Caenorhabditis elegans: one gene and its partner. The protein of the gene in region 1 interacts with the protein of each later gene in a pairwise test. Each region holds a gene or a part of one and is shown in the gene's direction. Other genes may lie near its edges.

Evidence for each region.
Region 2: the proteins of lin-41 (region 1) and jac-1 interact in a two-hybrid assay, tested with the Caenorhabditis elegans proteins (one study listed by BioGRID).

What each region holds. Positions count from the first base shown.
Region 1 is NC_003279.8:9,339,224-9,344,283, reverse strand, and holds the start of lin-41 (Protein lin-41), read left to right. Parts: upstream 1-1,787; 5' UTR 1,788-1,966; intron 1,967-2,370; 5' UTR 2,371-2,386; coding exon 2,387-2,522; intron 2,523-2,569; coding exon 2,570-2,831; intron 2,832-2,874; coding exon 2,875-2,924; intron 2,925-2,967; coding exon 2,968-3,108; intron 3,109-3,155; coding exon 3,156-3,427; intron 3,428-3,814; coding exon 3,815-4,086; intron 4,087-4,140; coding exon 4,141-4,264; intron 4,265-5,060. UniProt on the Caenorhabditis elegans protein: Heterochronic protein which acts downstream of let-7 in temporal patterning. Plays a role in the developmental timing of postembryonic hypodermal seam cell division and fusion events and adult alae production.
Region 2 is NC_003282.8:16,023,616-16,028,516, reverse strand, and holds the start of jac-1 (Fibronectin type-III domain-containing protein), read left to right. Parts: upstream 1-1,669; coding exon 1,670-1,824; intron 1,825-1,963; exon of another isoform or gene 1,964-1,988; intron 1,989-2,084; exon of another isoform or gene 2,085-2,105; intron 2,106-2,128; exon of another isoform or gene 2,129-2,149; intron 2,150-2,361; exon of another isoform or gene 2,362-2,382; intron 2,383-2,527; exon of another isoform or gene 2,528-2,548; intron 2,549-2,710; exon of another isoform or gene 2,711-2,737; intron 2,738-2,888; exon of another isoform or gene 2,889-2,909; intron 2,910-2,946; exon of another isoform or gene 2,947-2,967; intron 2,968-3,095; exon of another isoform or gene 3,096-3,119; intron 3,120-3,465; exon of another isoform or gene 3,466-3,486; intron 3,487-3,749; exon of another isoform or gene 3,750-3,773; intron 3,774-3,922; exon of another isoform or gene 3,923-3,943; intron 3,944-3,954; exon of another isoform or gene 3,955-3,980; intron 3,981-4,621; exon of another isoform or gene 4,622-4,645; intron 4,646-4,737; exon of another isoform or gene 4,738-4,758; intron 4,759-4,901. UniProt on the Caenorhabditis elegans protein: May act as a positive modulator of hmr-1 function during epidermal morphogenesis. Required for proper localization of other junctional components, such as pac-1.

The sequences.
Region 1 (5,060 bases):
TATTAAAAAAAGAAACGCACGCTTCGCGACGTTTCTTCTCCTTTTTTTGCGAAAAAAGTGAAAAAGTACACTACTCTTTCAAACATGAGGCCTTGCACTTTTGGCACGAAATTCTGTTTTTGCGACGACGGCGCGGCGGAGAAGATCACTGGGGGTGAGAGGGGAACACTGAATGGAAAAAAGAATGAGAAAGAGAGAACAAACTAGAGACACGCAGAGATCAAAAGCACTGAGCCCAGTGAAAGAGAAACACTTTGGTCTCTTCGTCTTCCCCTTCTTCCCCTTTTTTCCGCAAAAAAAAAAGAGTTTTCACTCTTTCTCTAACCATCTGTCCACTCTCGTGCAGCCTACCCCCAGCAGTCCTTCGGCGCGGCGCTCACCCCCAGGTGTGTAGAGAGTGGGAACGACGAAGAGACTACAGACATTTGGGGCGCCTGGGGGAGACAGCGGGGCAGCCTAGGGGTGGAAATTTAGAGAAATGGAGAGGAAAGAGGGGAAAAAGACTTCTACACACACACACAGACATACACACACTTTTATCGTTCCCACCGTGTTCAATGTCCCATAGGTTTTTGCGATTTTTTTTTCAAAAAATGAATTGAAGTTACTTCCAATGTATATCTGTTAGAATCTGTCTTGATATGAAAAAGATATGTCACGCCCCTTTATGATATTTTGAGACTTTAGGTCAAAAGGTCACAAGTTCAATAAGTCTTAGAAATAAAAATCAGTAATTGAAACGAAATTCATGAAACTTTGCTTCCAGATATCCGGACATGTAATATTTAATAAAAATTAGCAATGAATAGTTAGACATGTATCTTTTATATGGTTCATCCAGAACATAATTCGTACAATATATTGGTTTTTGCTACGTGGCCTAGAAAGTCCAAAAATTCGGCCAGTGATTCATCTTTAATTTTTCACTTCAGAACTTTGTGAAGCTTGCCGACCAAGTTATTTCAACGAGCAGATTTTCGAGAAAATGACCATAGCTCCTTTTAGGAAGGTGGCCGTGTTTTTGTATGTCGCGGCCACATAGTAAAAATCACTCGGTGTAAAATGTGATCCTAAGACAAATTCCAACTTTAAGTTTTTGGCCTGGAAAACCTAGAGAATTGTCCAGAAAACTCCTACAATTTCGAAAAAAGGGGCGTTTTTGTTTATTTTACTTTGATTAATCCAACGCGAGATGTTTATTTAGTTAGTGTTTTTCGCATTCTTCAATTTTCGCTTCCCGGTTTCTATTGCTTCGATTAAATCCCTGTAAAGCTTTCACAAAGCCTAAAATGTTTGCCATTTCCATCACTTTTTAAGGAGCTGCTCAAAAACTTACTTCCGTATTGAATTTTTTGGAAGGAAAAATGTTTCAGATTTTTTTGTTTAATTTTTTTTGAAAATTTATCGAAAAAACAAATTATGTCGCAAAAAATGTTTGGTAAAACAATTTTTGAGATAGAGAACCGTACCGTAATCCTTAAAGGCGCATAGTCGGTTGGAAAAATTTTGTGTTCGTGACGAGACCCAACACATAAAATTACGAGTTTTCATCTAAAAATAAGTGTTTTCAGTGAATTCTTCTATCAAATAAAATTTTAACAAATTTATTACAAAAAACTCTTTAAAAATATCTTCAGATACATTCAAATTCATTTCGCCCCGTATTTTCAAGGAAAAATCGATAAGCTACCGTAACCCCATTTGTTTTATTATTTTATTGTCGCATCATTTTTCGATAATTTTTGAAAAACATTCAATTAATATATTTAAGTCTCGTTTTATTTCAGGCCACGGTTGGCGAACGGGTAAAAAGGAAGAGCCGATCGCCTCGTTACTCAAGGAAAAGGCTCGACGTCGCTGGAGGAGGGAAAAGTTGGTTTTTTAGGATAAAAACCAACTTAAAGTACAAAAAGAGCCGGAAACGGCGGGAATGCGACGTTGGAAACGATCGTGATCTTGAATAAAGGTGAGGAACTTTTAAATAACAAAGCAAAATGCGAAAATATATTAAAAATTAAAAACGTCGAAAAAAAATTAATAAAATTTTTTTATTCGAAAAATTTTGACCTACCACAAATTTTTTGACTACTTAATTTTTTGTTTTTTGTTTTTATTTTCGAATATTAAATTGAAAGAGCGGCATTTTTCTGATTTTCCCATCAAAAATCCTTGTCATCAGCAGCCCTCGGGCCATTTTTCTCTCATTTTGTTCCATTATTTTCATATAAAAAGTGCACTTTTTTTGTGCTTCACTGACTTTTTTGTTCGATTAATTGTTCCATTCGTTCTGAAAAGTCAAAAAATTCATAAGTATTCTAATTGTAGAGTCATCGTTTGCCCTTTCCACTGATAATTAATCAACCTTTTCAGACTTGGAAAAAGTGAAATGGCGACCATCGTGCCATGCTCATTGGAGAAAGAAGAAGGAGCACCATCAGGACCTCGTCGGCTTCAAACTGAGATCGACGTGGACGCCAACGACAGCGGAAACGAGCTGTCGATGGGCGGAAGCAGCAGTGAAGGTAACACTTGAAAATTGAAAAAAAAGCTTCCAACGAAACAACTTCAGGTGACTCAATGTCCCACCATCGCGGTGAGCATTCACCAAACCATCATCATCAGGATAATCATCTTGGCTCGGGACCACCACCACCACAGTTCACTGGCTCACTATTTGACACTCCACCGTCAATGATTCAGTCACCACAGCAGCAACCACAGTTCCAGTTCAACACTGGATTCGGACTCGGACTCCCGCAAGACTCCTTTCGGTGCTCAGTCTGCTCCAAGAGCTCGACGATTGGAGTGCTGCCGTTCGTTTGTGCGCACAAGTGGGGTTTCAAGACAAATTATCAAAATGACAATTATTTTTAGAACGTGCCAATCATGCTACCAGATGACACCGTCCTCGTACGATCGACGGGGTAAATAAATATCTCAACTTTCTGTATGATTTATGAATTTTAGCTTGCAAGCTGTGTGGTGCCGTATCGACAGCCACCGCCAACTTTACATCGCAGATGTACCTGTCTCCGACGCTTCCATCACCGCCACGTGGAGCTCTGATGTCGGATTGTTCGACACCAACGATGAATAATCACATTAATTGTATGTTTTAATTCTCAATTTACACCGAAGAATAACCCAAATTCCAGCATCAACTCCACTTCATCAACCTCGTGCATTCTCATTCTCACTCAGTGGAATGCCTGGATCACCGTCTCCAGTGATGGGTGCACGGATGCCATCGTCTGCTGGTGGGCTCATGATGCGTCCAATTGGATTCCCCGACTCGGACAGCAGTTTGACATCATGGTCTCCATTGCAACAACCATCACAGCTTTCTATCAATAATCTGTCGAGCATCGGAGGACACCAGCAACAATCGCCGATGTTGATGCAAAATGTGTTTGATTCGTTGGCAGTGGTCAGTTTTTATCAAATTTCAAACAGAGAAAAGTACAATTTTGTGGAGTGTGGAGCTATAAACAAATTCAATTTCCCGAATTTATGATGTTATATATTATGTGGTCGCAAATCGAAAAATGGTTCAATTTACGGTTTCGCCGTCAATACCTAACGAGACCCAACTTCTGGGGGTGGACCTCGATTAAAAAATGAGCATTTTTCTACGGCCCCATAATATTTCAAAAATCATTTTTTTCGCAAAAAAAAGTTAGCATTTCTCTCTTCCCAAGAAACATATTTTTCTCCCTGGCTTCAATAAGTTCAATAAGTCTTTTTTCTAATTTTTTTTGCTAAATGCGCCCTCCTGCGAGCTGAAATTGCACCTAATTCCTCGTATTCTTTACAGAACGATGATACTCCTGTATTCTCTCCACTCTCTCCAACGAATACTTCAATGCATATGCCACCATCATTGATGGCATCACCAGATGTTCCAAAACATTCTGCAACCATAGCTCCACCACGTAATTCCATGTGCTCGACGCCACGTCTTCAATTGGCAACACCAATGTCTTCACAATCACAGCAAACTTTTCCAATTCCTTCACCACTTGGATCTCAGCCACAACAACAACAGCCAATGGGTCCGATTCAATGTCAAGGATGCGAATCGAAAATGTTAGTTTTCCCCTAAAACTTCAAAGATAATTAAATTATATTTAAATTTTTCAGATCGTTCGCCTACTGTATGCAATGTCAGGAAGCTTTGTGTATTCATTGTGTTCAAGCTCATCAGCGTGTTCGAGCCACCAAACAACATGCGTTCGTTGAGCTTCAGCAGTTGATGGCTACTTTGGTTAGTTTTTATCTTATCGTGTGTTACTACACGCTTTTTGCGTCTCAACACGACAATTATTTTTTTGGAAATTCATAAAAAGTATGCGCCTTTAAAACGTACTGTAATTAAACTTTTCCATTGTTTTTCATTAAATATTTGTATATTTATTTATCGAAAACCTAAAATTAAAAATTAAAACCATAAAAAATCGATGAAAATTCACAGCTACAAAAATTTGAAACTACAGTACTCTTTAAAGGCGCACACCTTTTTGTAGTTTACAAAAATTGACATTTTGAGACATGATACCGTAGTTTGGGAGCAAAAAATAATATATGTGGTCTATATTAATATCACCTTGATCCGTTTCAAGATTCTCCACGTGCTTGATGACGTGAATCGTTTGTAATCAGGAATCATAAAAAGAGTACGCAATAATCATAAATCAATGACTCCTGTCAATCAAGAAAAAACACAGAATCAGTACTTTTTTGGTGTATTTTTCCGTTTTTAAATGTCTTATCAGTAACTGATTGCAGGATTAGAACACAAAAATTGGCTGCCGACCGTTCCACTACATTAGTAAAACTTCTTGAAAATAACTTTTTGAAAACTATCAAGGAAAGTATTTCAGCTCACTTTTAGATTTTTAAATGAAACTTGTGTCAGCAGTTTCACATTTTTCAAACAAAACCAAGTTCCAAAAAGCTCCCAGAGTGTTTGCTTACCTCCAAACACCATAAACATCACCAAAAGCTTGCAAAAATCCACATTTCGAAGAAAACAATTTACTGAAAGCAGTTTCAGAGCTGAA
Region 2 (4,901 bases), on another chromosome or scaffold:
CAGCAAACATTTTAAAAACAAAACCTCGCTTAAAATGAACATTTTGAGATAAAACTTCACATTAACTTTGTCTTTAACTTTGAAAACATTTTGAAACAGAAACAATTTTAATCCTAAATTTTTTTCAAATTTCCCACCAAAAAGTGCCTTCTCTTACACTTTTCCCACTGGGATCCTCAGCGGCTCCCTCCAAATCGCGGCTCATCAATCTTGCTCAAAAAAAATTTATTTGCACCCACCAATTGTCTACCACCTCCGATGGGAGACGGGTGCTTTGATTAATAATTATGATATTTTTGGTTTGGCTTTTTTTGGTTTTACTGTTCTTTTCGAAAATAGAAGTTTTGGAGCATTTTTATATTTTCCATGAATCTCGCTATTAAAAAAAAGACAATTTTGGAAAAAAAATTTGCCGTTTCAAAAGTAACATATAAACAAATAAATTTTTTAACTTGCAGTATGGTGTTTACTTGAGTAATTAGATTTGTTTCCATCCTAAACTTTCTTCCACGTGGCATATTACGTTGAATTCTTACAGAATAATTAAAATTATTATTAAAAATTTGAAAAAAATGACTTTTGGATGAAAATGTTTGACTTTTCCCAAAATTTCATCTGCATTTTTGTAATATTACTCGGTTTACTAACAGTTCTTCATAATTTACGGTTTTTTTTTCAAAAAATGATATTTTTTAAAAAAAGCTTTTTTTTGAAATTTTTCTACGAAAATTCCGAAATTGTGCAGAAAATCGTCAAATTCGTTTTCAAAATTTTTCAATTAATTTAGGAATTTTTGATTGTTAGAAAGTTTCTCAATGAAAGTTTTAAAGAATTACCAATTTTTGAATGTGAGCTGTACTCAATGTAGAAGCAAATTTTACGATAATAAATGGATAACTTGAAACATTATTTTTCAAAAAAATTTCTACAACTGCTGAAAAGTTAATTTCTTAAGAGGAAAATGTATTATCTTCGTCGCATAACGTTTTTTGTTGCTAGAAATCCGGAATACGCGTTGATTTCTGGAAAAAATTGTGGAGTTTTTTGCATTTTCGAAAAAACAAATTTCACCGTTTCAGAAATGTCTTAAATCGTTTTGTTTTCAATTGAAAAACGCTTCGATTTTGAGAAAACTGGCCGTTTCAAGAATTATTCAAAAATCGGTCTGTTTTGTTCTCTACTCTACTGACAAGTACTGTTTCAGAATGTTCACAAAAAAAGCTAATTTTATAATAAAACTAATTGTACTACGATGCAGTAAATATATATTTTTCGTATGAAAATTCTCACTTCACTCAAAAATTGATTAAAATTGTCATAATTAATTTTGAGATTTCTATTAAAACTGCTAATTCAAGGTTTTAACAGAATTCTCCATAGAATACTAAAATTTACAATTATTCCTGAATGCATATCAAAATGTTATTTTTTCTATTCGGAACTAGATCACGTAATTGTTCGTGAAATTTTTGCAAAATAAATCGAAAATGTGAATAGGTGAAATTTTGTTTTAAAAAAAAATTTTGAAAAAAATTCACTTTTTCACATAGTACTCATAAGCACTGTTATAAAACCATATCTGATGTCTCATTGTTAACATTTTCTCTCAACTCTCCGTCCACTTTTTAAATAATCAATAATTCCTCCTCAAAATCCCAACATTTTACAGATGATCTCCTCGGGGTGGATGCAAGAAATGGAGCCCATACCAGAGGAGGGAACCGAGGCGGATGGCTCCGAGTGGGGAGCTATGTCGGATACCGCTAAAAGGACGATGCGAAAGAAGGAGGTGTACACTTCGGAACAGATTAATACGCTAGTTAGGTTAGTTTTTTTTTTTGGAATTTTTATTTTTGGGAGGGGTTTGAAAGAGATCTCAAAGTTTGAATTAATTTTGAAATTGAAAAAAAAAGTTTTGCAGTTTCTGGTTCTTGAGAAGTAGTACAAGGAAATAGAAAAGCACTTATTTTTGAAATCGAACTTCAAAACCAGAAATGAAAAATTGATCAAAAACTAACTTAAAAATTGGGCATAGAACATATTTATTTGAAGAAAATTAAATTTTCAGCCAACAAAATGTTCTAAAGTTTCAAGTTCCTTAGATATCACTGAAAATATCTAAGCTCTTTTTGACATCAAAGAAAAACAGATAAGTTTTTATTATATATGATCTCGATTTTTTTCTCTGAATAATCTCACACATTCAAATTGATACTCTTAAAATTAAAAAAAAACAAAAGAAATAACTGATTGCGTATTAAAAAAATAGTTAAAATTCCGAAACTAGAAATTAAGTTTAAAAATTAAAAAAAAAACTGTTTCTAGTTCTTAAGATATAACTGCTCCAAAATAGAAGGGCAGTCTCATAGGGTCTCGTTGACAAGCTGAAACGAAAGTAGTGTATTTTTTCAAAAACGAACTAATTCTGCATAACAACAGCAAATCTCGGCTTTTAGCTAAAAAATCTAACACTTATTTTTACTTTTTCTAGTTTCCCAAATAAAACCTTTAATTTTCCATTAAATATTGATTTAAGTGCCTGTCCTTTCTAGTAGTACTGCATAGCTTACGATCTTCTCTTTAAAATATTTATGAAAATCCAAAATATTCAAAGCAATAATACAGAAAGTGTTTTGTTCTACAATTTGGTATCAACTTTTTTCTACTGTTTTTACACCTTAAGATAAAACTGCTCTGAATTGAGTGACATTCTCGCTCTTGAACAAAACGCAGAGAAATCAACCACTTTTTGACCGTTGTTCCACCACTTTTTGTAAAACAAATTACTGGTTAAAAGTTGCCTATTTCAAAATTTTCTTTCTGAAAAGTAGTAAAATATTTCGTTAAAAAATAGAAAATCGGAGTTTGTCAAGGAAAAAATTTTGGAAACTTTTTTCCGACTGTTTCTATTGCTTAACATATTAGTTCTCGAAAATAAAAAGGCAGTCGGAAACCAGATATATTTTGAAAGTTGATAATTTCTCTAAAAGCAACCTAATTCTGCATAAAGTCGGTATTCTAAAATTCTCGACTGCGAAAAATAAATTTCTACTGTTTCAAATTGTTTAGATAAAACTACTTAAATTGATTAAAGATAGTGCCATTAATTCATCCGATATTCCCATCTCACCTCTCTTTAATTCCCTCCAAAAAAGCCGTTTCAAAACCCTAACCGCCGCCAAATACAAACAGTCCGTCCTATTTTTTCCGTTTTTGCATCGGATTAGTGTTGTGTCTTCCGTCTCTCCAAATCCCACACTATCTCTCAGCCAGGTCTACAAAATGTTTATTATTGTCATTAATATTCGTTTCGGCTATGTTTTATTGGTATATCATTGGATTGGAACGACGACGCTAGTGGTCATTTATTGCAACTTTTGAGTTGCGGCAAAACTTTAGAAATTGAAAAAAATAGTTTCGGTTTCAAGGGTTTATACTTTTTTCCGAACATTTTTGGTTATCAGATCCAAAAATAGTTAAATCTAATTTTTGTTTGACAATGTATATGCAACTGAAACTGCAAAACCAAGTTAAAAATTTTTTAATGTAACCAGCCTACCATAAATAAGAATAAATTGAACATTTGAATGTTTTAATAGCAGTTTTTATTTAAGTGTATTCCAAGTTAATTTTCTTCAAAATTTGCAAAAAAAATGTTTGCTTAATGAAAGTTTTATCGAGGCCACTTTATTTTGGCAAAAAAAACTATTTCAATATGTTTTTTAACGACTTGCAAGTTAAACTCATATTATTGTTACTTAACCTTTGAAATAAATTTGACCCATATAAGTTTCATAATATACATGGAATCCTTGCCTGAAAATTTTTTAATATTTCAAAATAATTAAACGGTGAAAATTCATAAATTTGCTTTTAAAACTTCAAGAAATTTCAATTTTTAAATTAAAATTACTGTTTCAAAACTTTGAGAAAATGTTTCTGATTAGCTGTTATTTTATTGCACAATTGATAAGGATAAAATGAAACAGTAAAACAGCAATTTTTAAAAACTTGACAATTGGTTCCCGATGACGTCACTGGAAATGCAAGGATGTGCAAGGTGTGAGTAATCGAAAATACCCTTCCCTTCCCTGTCTCAAACGGTCCATTTCTCCACGGCAAACAAGAGACCATCTAAAACAATATGTCATTTCCCTCTCTCCACTCTGCGTCTCACACTCTCTTCCCGCACGTTGGCACTCTGCCAAAGTGTGTAGAGAGAGTGGAGAAATAGAGAGTGAGACAGAAGGTTAAAAAGGTGTGAGTGAGAGAATGTCCTCGATGAAGAGAGGGGACGAACAAATGAATAAATTGCGTTCGCCGTTCTCATTTCCGATGACTTTTTGTTCTTTTACTGTGGAGAGATTTTCTGAAGAATGGGAGACACTTTTTTTCCACTGCTTTAGATGTTTCTTTGAGCATGTAGTTTTGTAAACGACGTTCTCTACATAAAATTGATTTTAAATACAGTTTTTTTTGCTAAAATTCAACAGAAAGATGAATTCTAAAAAAAAAAGAAAAAATTGTGTAAAATCCTGTTTTTTTCAGTTTTAACTATGAATATTCGAAAAAAAAACTGTTTCAAGATGTTGTTGAATTTTCTTCAAGTTTTTTAGTTAACTGTTATTTTGTCTAAAATTTCTCTAAATACTATTTTTAGATATTTCACATAACAATTTTTCTTCTTAACATTGTTTCAAATAGATCATATATTTTCGAAAATGTTTCAAATATTAGTGGGAAAAATCATTCCAGCGGACAAAATAAGCTGTTAATCTGAAATTATTTCTCTGTTTTAGGCTGTCAGTGAATTTTTTAAAATTTCAGTTCACTGCTGATTTATTTTAAAAATAACAAAAAACTGCCAAGTACTGTTTCAAACGAAACATATAATTTGTTTT